Linked DNA regions of Oryctolagus cuniculus. The protein of the gene in region 3 purifies or fractionates together with the protein of the main gene of each other region. This does not show direct contact. Links are inferred from orthologs where the notes say so. Each region holds a gene or a part of one and is shown on either strand. Other genes may lie near its edges. The genes, in order: STRN4, STRIP2 and SIKE1.

Evidence for each region.
Region 1: the proteins of SIKE1 (region 3) and STRN4 purify together in Homo sapiens (affinity purification with mass spectrometry; 3 studies listed by BioGRID and IntAct, with this or other methods). This does not show direct contact. The link is inferred for Oryctolagus cuniculus from reciprocal best matches to the Homo sapiens genes SIKE1 and STRN4.
Region 2: the proteins of SIKE1 (region 3) and STRIP2 purify together in Homo sapiens (affinity purification with mass spectrometry; 3 studies listed by BioGRID and IntAct, with this or other methods). This does not show direct contact. The link is inferred for Oryctolagus cuniculus from reciprocal best matches to the Homo sapiens genes SIKE1 and STRIP2.

The regions. Positions count from the first base shown.
Region 1 is NC_091449.1:10,658,157-10,661,801, forward strand, and holds part of STRN4 (striatin-4), read left to right. Parts: intron 1-969; coding exon 970-1,129; intron 1,130-1,626; coding exon 1,627-1,740; intron 1,741-2,076; coding exon 2,077-2,192; intron 2,193-3,545; coding exon 3,546-3,645. UniProt on the Homo sapiens protein: Calmodulin-binding scaffolding protein which is the center of the striatin-interacting phosphatase and kinase (STRIPAK) complexes.
Region 2 is NC_091434.1:165,658,257-165,661,901, reverse strand, and holds part of STRIP2 (striatin-interacting protein 2), read right to left. Parts: intron 1,031-3,645; coding exon 956-1,030; intron 365-955; coding exon 267-364; intron 1-266. UniProt on the Homo sapiens protein: Plays a role in the regulation of cell morphology and cytoskeletal organization. Required in the control of cell shape. Calmodulin-binding scaffolding protein which is the center of the striatin-interacting phosphatase and kinase (STRIPAK) complexes.
Region 3 is NC_091438.1:55,562,747-55,566,491, reverse strand, and holds the start of SIKE1 (suppressor of IKBKE 1), read right to left. Parts: upstream 2,695-3,745; 5' UTR 2,087-2,694; coding exon 1,928-2,086; intron 1,696-1,927; coding exon 1,590-1,695; intron 770-1,589; coding exon 627-769; intron 1-626.

The DNA.
Region 1 (3,645 bases), on a different chromosome or scaffold from region 3:
TGTCGGTCACCGTGCGTGTCCCACGTGCCCCGTGGGCCGGCTCCTCCCCGTGGGGGTCTCTGCCTCCACGTGCCCTCTGTCTCCGTGCAGTAGACTGTGGGAGGCAGTGAGGAAGGCCTGGCTAGGAGCCTGGACAGACCCAAAGACCCCCCGCCCCCCACGGGTGGGACTTGGACCCAGGCTTCTCTGTCTCCGCTTCCCTTCCTGACTCGGCCCGGGTGACGAAGGGGCCCTGACTCTGGATTGGCGAGGGGGTGATGGACTGGAGCCCGTGTGGAGCAGGCCCCCTGCACCCCCGGGGGGGCAGGTGTTAGCGGCTGCACGAGGCACTTGGTCCTGGTCCCAGGCGCTGCTGGGGACGTGGTTGGACACACCCCACGGAGCAGCTGTGGTGGCTCCGGCTTCTGTGCCGCCCTGATGCCCGCCGACACCAGCCACTGCCTTTCCGGGCAAGCTGATTGGTCCTGGGCCCTAGGTCACCCCATGTCCCGCCCCTCAGGTCCCCTCACAGACGCCCACGGGGTGTCGCCCCCGAGTCCCCAGCTTGTGGGGCTGACTGCGGGGAGTGTCAGCGGCTCCCTGGAGTCCGAGGCTGCCGAGGCTGGGGGCCCAGGTTGCACCTAATGGCCTGGGGCGGGCAGCTGCTCCGTCCTCACCTGTAGTACGGGGAGGGTAATCGCGGTCACCACAGCGGCTGCCCTCAGCTTGTGATGAGGCTGTGCACTCGGTGGGCGCGTTGGATCTGGAGCGGGAGTACCCTCGGCAAAGCCAGGAGGAGCCCGCGGTGGAGGGCAGCGCTGTGTGCCCGCCGGTGGGTGGGAGGCCGCTGCTGAAACCTGCCAGCAGGGGGCGCACCGCGGTCAGAGCTGGCGGGGAGGCAGGAGGCAGGAGCCCAGCTGTGTGTTCCCTGCACCTGGTGGGCTTGGTCTTCGTCCGAGCCCCTGACCAGCTGGTTTTACCGTGCCGCAGCTCCCATCCAAGGCGCTGGCGCCCGAGATAGAGGATGAAGACGAGGAGGACGACTCTGAGGATGCCATCAATGAGTTTGACTTCCTGGGCTCAGGCGAGGATGGGGAGGGGGCCCCAGACCCTCGGCGCTGTGCTGCAGACGGAAACCCCCATGAGCTGGGTGAGTGGGCGACTTCCTGGCTGGCCTCTGCTCACCTTCCACGCCTGCCTGCCTCGTCCACACGCAGCCACCTACAGCTGCTTCCTGTCCCAGGTCTCCACCGGACGGATACGCTTCCTTAGAGGAGAGGGCCAAGGAGAGCGGGCGGGAGCCGTGGGGCTGGCTGGGAAAACCCCGTGGGCCACGGCAGGCGTCTAGTTGTAGCCCGGCTCGAGGGGAGAGCAGGATGAGCGGCTGGTGGGGCCGGGCCGTGGCTCCCTCTGTCCTGTGACCCCTGGCCTGCCTGGAGACCCTCGGGGGTGACATGGGATGGTAGCTGGGGGCCTCCTCCCCCCCTGAAGGTCCCAGCTGGCCTTTGTTTCCTCTGCCCTTCCCGACCTGGGGCCAGCACTTCAGCACCACCCCCTACGGTTGCAGGGAGGCGCGGGGTGGGGGCGGCTCCTGTGCCAAGCCGGGGAACTGGTGGGAGACTCCTGCCCCCTGCCTCATCCCTGCAGAAAGCCGTCGGGTCAAACTCCAGGGGATCCTGGCTGACCTTCGGGATGTGGACGGGCTGCCCCCCAAAGTGACAGGCCCCCCTCCTGGCACGCCCCAGCCCCGGCCTCATGAAGGTAAGAGCCCCTGCCCCGAGCCTTGCCCCGTCCCCTGGGGCCCACGGCAGAGGGAGGCTGCAGAGCTAAGCCCAGGGCTCCCGTGTCCTCAGGGTGAGGCCCAGCCTCCAGTCTGCAGCCTCCCTGTCCCAAAAGTTGGTCTGTCTGTCTCTGTCTCCCTCTTTTTGTCTGTCCTGCCCCAACTGTCTGTCTGTCTGTCTCTCTGTCTCTTCCTTTCCAGCTGTGATTCTTGGTCTTGTGCCCTCCCTGCCTCTCTTGCTGGCCCCTTATCTCTCTCTGCCTCTCTCTGTCTCTCTCTCGCCCTGGCCCTCTCCGCCCCGCCCCTCCCGCTACCAGGTTCCTTTGGCTTCTCCTCAGACGTCTTCATCATGGACACTATCGGGGGCGGGGAGGTGAGCCTGGGGGACTTGGCGGATCTCACCGTCACCAACGACAACGATCTCAGCTGTGACGTAAGTCCCTGGGGTGTCCCGTGCCAGGCCCAGGCTCAGTCCTCTGTGTCTGAGGACATGGCGAGGTCGCCCAGCTCCTGTTCACCTGGTGACAGAGGGGAGCCAGGCAGATGGGAGGGACCCCGTGGCCTGTGGCCTGTGGCCCGTGGCCCGTGGCCCAGCAGCTTCGGGGGCCTGCGACTTCCTCGTGGTGCCGGCTCCTCCCTTCCGCAGTGATCTGGGATGGAGGAGGGTGCAGGTGGGCCAGGCCAGTGTGGGGTGAGTGGGGCTGGGGGAGGGCCCTCTGGGGCAGCGTCCAAGCCTGGAGTCCTCCTCGAGCGGGCCCCTGGATGTCCCTGGTGTGGCACAGAGTGCTGGGTCAGGGGTGCTGCTGGGGGGTACAGCCGCGAGGCTGGGCGGAGCTCCTCGCTCTGCCCGTGGACCCGGGCTCTGAAGGACTGGTGGCCGTGACGGCCCCGGCGCCTCGGGTGGACTGAGCCCAGCTTGGGCAGGGCGCTGAAGCCCACGTGGCAGTCTGCTCGCCTCGCCATCAGGGCACGGGCAGTCCGTAGGACTCGCCCACGGAGGCCTGTTGATTGGCTCCCAGACCTCCCCCAGCCCGCCCCGTGAACCTGTGCCTGCTCTCCTGCCTGCCCCTCCCGAGACGGCGTGGCCTCTGGAGCTGTCCGCCTGCAGCCGCCGCCACCTTGCCCCAGTCGCAGCCTCTCAGGCGGCGGTCAGAGCAGCCTGCTTGCCATGGCCGAGAGCAATGAGGAGAAGCAGAGGCTGGGCGTGGCTCGCATTTCTGGCTGCTGCTGACCTCTCTGGTCCTGCCTCCCGCCACCTGGACCCTTGCTCTCTGTGTCCCAGCCATCCTGGCTCCTAGGTGCTGGGCTTGCCCGTGCTGCCTCCTGTATCTTTTTCTTTTAAAAGATGTACTTATTTGAAAGGCAGAGTTAACAGACGGAGGGAGAGACCCTGCATCCGCTGGTTCACTCCCCAGATGGCCAGGCCGCAGCCAGGAGCCTGGGACTCCATCCGGGTCCCCCACGTGGGTGCAGGGCCCAAGCACTGGGGCCGTCCTCCGCCGCTTTCCCAGTCCACGAGCAGGGAGCTGACCCGAGGCAGAGCAGCTCCGCTGGCTTAGCCTGCTGTGCCGTGGCGCCAGGCCTGCCCTCCCCATCGCATTGAGCCTGCTCACTGTTACCCCTCAGGAAAGCCTTGTTGACCCTTGACCCCTTCAGAGGCAAGGGTGGTCTCCCAGGAGCCAGCCTCTGTGGAGGGTTGTTGAGTGGGGCGGGGACTGTGCCCAGAAAGAGGAAGGGGAGAGCGCCGGGCGGGCGAGGCGATGCTGAGGCGGCCCTCCCCCAACAGCTGTCAGACAGCAAAGACGCCTTCAAGAAGACGTGGAACCCCAAGTTCACCCTCCGCTCGCACTACGACGGCATCCGCTCGCTGGCGTTCCACCGCAGCC
Region 2 (3,645 bases), on a different chromosome or scaffold from region 3:
CAAGCCTGTCTGGAGAAAACCTCCACTGGTCTCTGTTGCTCTCTCTCTCCTCGGGGAAGCTCGTCCCTTGGCAGTGTCCACCCACATCCCTGGGCTGCCAGTCACTGGCACGGAGGTCGCCCTCCAGGCCCTCCGTCCTCAGCTAAAAAGAGCACAGCAGAGAGGCCTGCCGGGGAGTGGGAGATCTCGCTGGGGACGATCCCGTGAGCGTTCACAAGGAGGGGCGGGGACAGACAAGACAGCTAGTGCCCGGTGGAAGCACTCACGGCATCTCCTCGGGCAGGACGTCTGCCAGGATGTTGATAGAGTCTGTCTTAGCCTTGGAGGTGGGGGCTGCGGCCAGCAGAATCTTAAGCAGAGCGATCTGGGAAGCGGAAGAGGAGGCGGTGGTTCTCCCCACCTCACCAGCCCCATGGGAAGCGTTTTCAAGCCTTTCCCTATGTTCTTCCCTTGGGGATCAAATCTCCCCAGCACCCAGAAGGGCAAACAGGTGCCCAGTCCTGAGAGGCCTGCCTGTTAGGCTAGGGAGGGAGCCACAGGGAGTTGACAGGCTGCTCTGCTTCAAGACTGCTCTATCCAAAGGGGAGGTTGCACAAAAACAGGGAGGGATAAGCTCAACTCCTCCCACCACCCTGACTGGCAGCACTGCCCCCACTTTCAGCGTGAGGCTATGTAGGCCTTGGCGGCCCTGGCAGATCTCAGAGGACTCTGCACTTACCTAGGAGGAGGGCCCCCAACTCAGCCCTTACAAGGCTCACCTTGTCGTCCACCCCTCCCAAAGAAAGAGGAGGGAGAACAGCTCCTTCAGAGGGGCCCTGGGGAAAGCTCAGAATGCCTTGCCGAGGGGCGAAATCTCAGGGAAAAGCTCAAAGGGCGGACAGCCAGCTTGACACGGCTCCCGGCTGTGTGCTCCTGGCAGTGGAGAAGGGCTGCGGTGGCCCAGCTGGCTCCTTACCATGTACTGGGGGAGGCTGTACAGCATGCCCTGGTAGAGGATTTCACACGGCGTCTCTGGAACCACCTCTTCCCCCTGTGGCAGAAACACACGGTTTGCATAGGCCAGGTCGTGAGGGGTGGCGTGCAGAGAGCACGGGGGCCGAGTCAGACCTAGGTTCTCCCCCTAGAGCTGTTGATGGCTCACTGTACGACCTTGGAAAGGTCACCTTCCTCTCCAAGTCCTAATTTCTTCTTCAGTAGGATCAGCAGGCTGGTCAGCATGGCCTTTCTTGGCTCTTCTGGGTCTCACAATGTATGATTCCGGTTTTTCCACTCCCTGGCGTGAGTCCAGAATTTCTTTCAGGAGTCACAACTTCCTCCCAAGAGCTGGGTCAGAAGACTGCTTGGCTGGACAGACACACAGGCCAGAAGGACCACCCTGGACACACATGGGCTCAAGTAGGCCACAGGTATGCCTGGGATACTGGAACAGACGCTGCACACAGAGGTACTTTCCACGGTGTCCACCTGGGGAGCCAAGAGCTATAGAACGCTCTGTAATCCAGGAAGAAGAGGTAGGTGGCTCAACAATGAAGGCTCATAAGGGTGACTTATAACCCAGAGGGACAGGAGGAGTATTTGCAGGGAAGCTTTTAGGTGGAAGCAAACTAGCTTCTTCTTTCCATTAGCCCCAACAACAGCACTTTCTTTTTCTGACGAGTCCCCCCATGCACAACTGTCTGTGGCCATTTTTCCCCTCAGTTTTACTTATTTATCTGAGAGGCAGAGATATAGGTACACAAAGAGACAGAGAGATAGAGCTTCCACTCACTGGTTCACTCCCAAATGCCTGTAAGAGGCAGGGCTAATACAGACTGAAGCCCGGAGCTAGGAGCCCAGAACTCAATCTGGGTCTCCTGTGTGAATGGCCGAGGACTTGAGCCAAGGCTGCTGCCTCCCAGGGTGCACAGTGGCAGGAAGCTGGAATCAGGAGCAGGGTTGGGTACTGAGCCAACTGGCATCTTATAGCTATGCCAAACGCCTGCACTGAAACACCTAGTGTTTATGCCGCCGTCTCCTGGGTTTGCTCCCACTTTGTGTTTTTCTTACTCTTCGTTTCTGGCTCCTTTTCTAACTCACCCCACTCTCAACACATTGGCTTGTCCCAGGGCTTTGTCAAGGGTTCCATGCTCTTCTCTGTCTCTGCTCCTTCCTTGAGTCACCGCAGCTGGTTCTAGGGCTATTCACATGGTCTGTAAGTCAGTGACTCTCAAATTTATTTCTAGAAACAGCCTCCTCCCTAGGACTCCAGACCTATATATTTGATTGCCTGGCAGTGTCTCTTGGATAGCTAACAGGCGTCTAAAGCTTAGTATGATGAAAACAGAACTCTTAATATTCCTCCCCATCTTGGCAAAGGGTACTTACTCTGGATTCCTCTCTCTGCCTGTCTACATCCAATTGAACTTCAAGTCCTGTCAGCTAGATCTCTAAAATATAGCCCAAGTTCACTCACTTTTCTCCATGTTCATAAATACTTCCCCAGTGCTGGTCACCATCATCTCTCACCTGGACCATTTTAAGAGCTGCCTATCTGGTCTCCCTGCTTCTACTCTTTTCTGGTCCTATCTTTACGTGGCAGCCAATGGGTTTTTGTTTTTGTTGTTCTTTTGTTTTCTAAAGATTTATTTATTTATTTTAAAAGTGGAGTTAAAGAGAAGGAGAGGTGGAGACACAGAGACAGAAGTCTTCCATCAGCTACCCCAAATGGTAGCAACAGCTGGAGCTGGGCCAGACCAAATCCAGGAGCTAGAAGCTTCATCTAGGCCTCCCAAGTGGGTGTAGGGAGCCAAGCACTTGGGCCATCCTCTGCTGATTTTTCCAGGTGCATTAGTAGGGAGCTGGATGGGAACTGGAGCAGTTGGGACTCAAACAGGCACCCATATAGGATGGTGGCACTGGAAGTGGTGGCTTAACCCCCTATGCCACAGCACCGGCCCCTGAGCCAATAGTTTTGAAAAACATAAATTGGAGTAGGAGTTTAGCCTAGTGAGTAAGACATTGCTCAAGATATCTGCATCCCACATCAGAGAACCTGAGTCGGATTCTTGGTTCTGGCTCTTGATCCAGCTTCCTGCTAACACAGATCCTGGGAGGCAGCAGTGATAACTCAGTATTTGGATTCCTGTCACCCACATGGGAGATGTGGATTAAGTTCCAGGCTCCCAGCCTCAGCCCTGGCCTGGCCCTGGCCACTATAGGCCATGGAGCTTGAACCAGCAGATGGGAGTTATATTTCTCTCTTTATCTCAAATAATTAAACTTTTTAAATAATAATAAAAGCATAAATCAGATCATGTTGCTTCCCTGCTTAAAACCCAAAAGGCTTTCCCGTGTGCCAGGAACCAATTCTGAGCTTCCCCACTTTTGCTTACAGGTCCTGTGTAAAGTCTCAGGTGACGTCTTTGACTCTGCCTCCACAACCCCACCCCTCAGCTCAGTTCTCCAGACACTCTGTCCTTGCGCTCCCCTCTGTTCCCGCTGCTCCCTGCTGTTCCCTCTGCTTGGAAGGCTCTTTCTTCCGGTGTTCCTACGTCTGGCTTCTTCTCACATTTCAGATCGTGCTGAAAAGTCACCTTCTCAGAGGTCTACCTACTTTGAGTGCCCAACCTAAGGTAGTCTACAGATGCTATCGTGTCGTCCTATTTA
Region 3 (3,745 bases):
AGTTTGGTATGTGCAAGTAATACTCAACCAACCATGAAGATACCTCAAAAAGTTCATGTAAACTAGAATTAAGCAGTTAGTTTCTTTTGGTGCAGTTTTGAAATTCATTCAGTTTTTTAAATAATATGTACTCTCCATGAACTTCAATGATCAGAGCTGCACTGATCCAAAGCCAGAAGCCAGGAAATTCTTCTGGGTCTCCCATGTGGGTGCAGGGGCTCAAGCACTTGGGCCATCCTCTACTGCTCAGGGAGCTGAATTGGAAGTGGAGTAGCCGGCACCCAAACCAGTACCCATATGGGATGCTGCACTGCAGGCGGCCGCTTTACCCACTCTGCCACTGTGGGCACCACCTTCAGCACTACCTGAAATTGCTGGAAAAGCTAAGCATTCATTAACATCTTAAAAACAGATCTTAGCGAAGGATGGAGGGACGTTAGCCCCACTCAAATTAAAGGATCTCAGGAGCCACTCATGCCCTTCTATTCACAGCTTTACAAAGCCACAGCAAATAAACACTGAATGTAATAAACCTGCCTTTTATTTTTTAAAAAAATGGACATGATCTAAAACAATCTCAAGATTTTCATTCAGTTCATTTAGAATTTAGCATCCAAGTTTCTTACTGCAGAGTGAGACTGGTGAGCTTTCAGGACCGGTTCAGCATCCACTGCCTTTTTAGCGACCATTAACTGTAGCATCTGTTTCCGGTACTTGCTCATGATGAGTTCCAAAGCATCCTGGTGTTCTTCCAGGGAAACCCAGAGCTCTACCAAACAGATACAAAACAAAATAACTGAACAGTGAAGGCTGTGAGACAGATCCCAAAGGCTAACTATTGATAGGTGGAATTCGATGACACTCCATGATACTGTGAACCCAAAGTTGTAGCAAACTGAACAGCTAAAGTCTACATGAAAAATAACTTTCTAGGTAGAGGCAGCAGTTTGGCAGAAACAACATGGGGGTGTGTAATCAGAAAAACACCGGCTTGAGTTCAGTTCTGTGCCTTACTTGCTTACCACTCATAAGTAACTCATTTAACTTCTCTGAGCCTGTTTCTTAAAGGCACTGTATAAATACCTGGCTTGCCTACCTCAAAATGAAGACAGGAGACTACAGGGTAATAACATATACGAAAGCCCCCTGTAAAGCGCTGTACAACTAGTACTATTAACGTCGTTAATAATGCACTCATCAACCTAAGAATGCAAATATATATTCTGAGGATAGAATTCCACTCTTCCATCATGTGTAAGAACATATACAAAACCTTCGAACTTAACATCAGGGTTCATTACGTTAATATCTAAACATTCAACTTTAAGCCCTTAAGGATATACAGTGTCGTCATGCAAGCCTCCATCTGGGGGTACCTAAAAAAGCCATGCAATAATTCAATTCAAGCAAGCGTCTCTTTGATAAGCTGCTTATAAAAACAAACCTTGGAACGGGTAATCTAACAAGCTTCTTACTGGGCCAGCACACGGTAACTTTCCTAGTAAAAGTACTGACCTGAAAATACATTTAGGGTAGTTTCGCCACTCCCAGACGTGAAACAATCCTAACCACACAAAGGCCTGACTCACCTCTGTTTTCCTGCTGTAAGTCTCTAATCTGTGTGTTTTCTTGGGACAGCAGAATGTGGGGTTTGTATTTGGACATATCCTTCACATCGGATGCATCCTCTTGATACTGCACAAACAGAGACAGCCTAAGCGCACTGTAAACAGAACTGGGGCAGACGCAGCTGAAGAGGCAGGAGTCAGAGCGCCAGGGCAGGATCACCAGCCCCTACCCTGCAGAAAGGTCTTCCTGCCGCCCTGAGACCAGGGATAAACTGCGGGCCGAGGTCCCCCGTCACCTCGCTCTCCACTCCTCAAGCGCCCAGAACCCCAGGGCCCTGGTCCGCTACCCTCCGCCTGACCTGGTCCGGAAGCGCTGTCCCCGCCTCCCGCATAGCAGCCACTCGCCGGTGCAGCGCCGCCGACTGATCCACCAGCGACTCGGCGGCCGCATCGTGCTCCCGCAGCCTCTCTAGCAGCGTCTTGGCGTCCGTCAGAATCTTCTCGATGGTGCAGCTCATAGCGGCTGCCGGACCCAAATCCCGGCCAGTTCACCTACGCTATTTGCTCAGCTCTCCCTTGAACCTGTCTCCGCGACACAAGCGTCACTTCCGGTACGTCGAGAAGCGCCTGCGCAGTGGCCGCCCGGTCCGCCGGGTGACCTGCAGTAACCTGCGGCTTCCCTGCAGCCCCGCCCGGCGCGGAGCCCGAGGCGTGCCCTTGCCACGCCCTTGCCACGCCCTTGCTTTCCCGTTCCCACAGCCGGGTGGTCCAGCTCAGCAGTAGCGGGATGAGCCTGAACTCCTCTCCCTGTTGGTTTTGATTGATGTCGACTGTTTTTCTGTCGTGCCTGGCTTTTTCTTTTTCCATGTAACTGTTAACAAAACTGTAGTAAAACACACATTACGATGTGCCATCGGGATCGTTTTTCGTGTACAGTTCAGTAGTATTAAGTACATTTCCAGTGTTCAAGCATCCCAGCATCCATCTCTGGAACTCTTCATTTTGTGAGACTGAAACGCTGTACCCTTTAAGGAAAATTATTACCATTCAGTATTAGGGTCCTTGATTGAAATTAAATAAACAATCACTTAAATAAAGATATCTGGTAGCAGAAAAAAAAAAGCAAAACAAATGCCTTTTCTTGTTTCTGTTATCACCTTTCACCCACTATTAGAATCATAGGATTGGGTAAGAGTTGGCTGCATTTGGCCTTAAAAAAAAAAGAGGTATAAAGGATTTAGGGTGTACCCTGTTCATTTCCGGCCTCTCCCCACCCCCAGCCCCTGCAAACCACCTTTCTATTTTCTGTCTATGAATTTGACTAAGCACCACATATAAGTGAACTCATATGGCATTTTGTGTGTGTGTGTGCGATTGCTTATTTCACATAGAACACAGTGCTATATGGTTAATCCATGTGAGTATTGTAATGTGTCTACATTTCCTTCTTTTTAAAGGCTGAATGATGCTCCTCTATGCAAGTGTGTATATACCACATTTTGTTATCCATTCATCTGACAATAAACACCTAGGTTGCTTCTACCTTTTGACTGTTGTGAATGATTCTGTTGCAAGTATCTCGCTGAGGTCCTTCTTAAAGCTCTTTTGGAGACATGGATTTATTTACATCTGTGGATCTATATGTTTGGAATTGCTGACTCATCTGTTAATCCAACTTAGAATTCTTTGAGAAATCATTGTATTGTTCTTCACAGAGGTTGCACCACATTACACTTCCACAGTGTACAAGGGTTCCGATTTCTCCACTTCCTTGTTGACGCTAATTATTAGCATTATTGTTGGAAATAGTCACCCTAAGCGGTGTAAGGTGGAGTCATCATTATTTTCTGCTTGTCCCGTCAATTTGTTGTGGCTGTTAATTCAGTTAGAAAATTGGAAATAAACTAACCAGAATAGCAATGACTCATGTGTTGTTATATTGATTTGCAAGTGTTCCAATAGTTGTTCCTCTTCAGAAATTTTACATCTTTTTTTTTTTTTTTTTTTTGACAGGCAGAGTGGACAGTAAGAGAGAGAGACAGAGAGAAAGGTCTTCCTTTGCCATTGGTTCACCCTCCAATGGCCGCCGATCTGATGGCAGGAGCCAGGTGCTTCTCCTGGTCTCCCATGGGGTGCAGGGCCCAAGCACTTGGGCCATCCTCCACTGTACTCCCAGG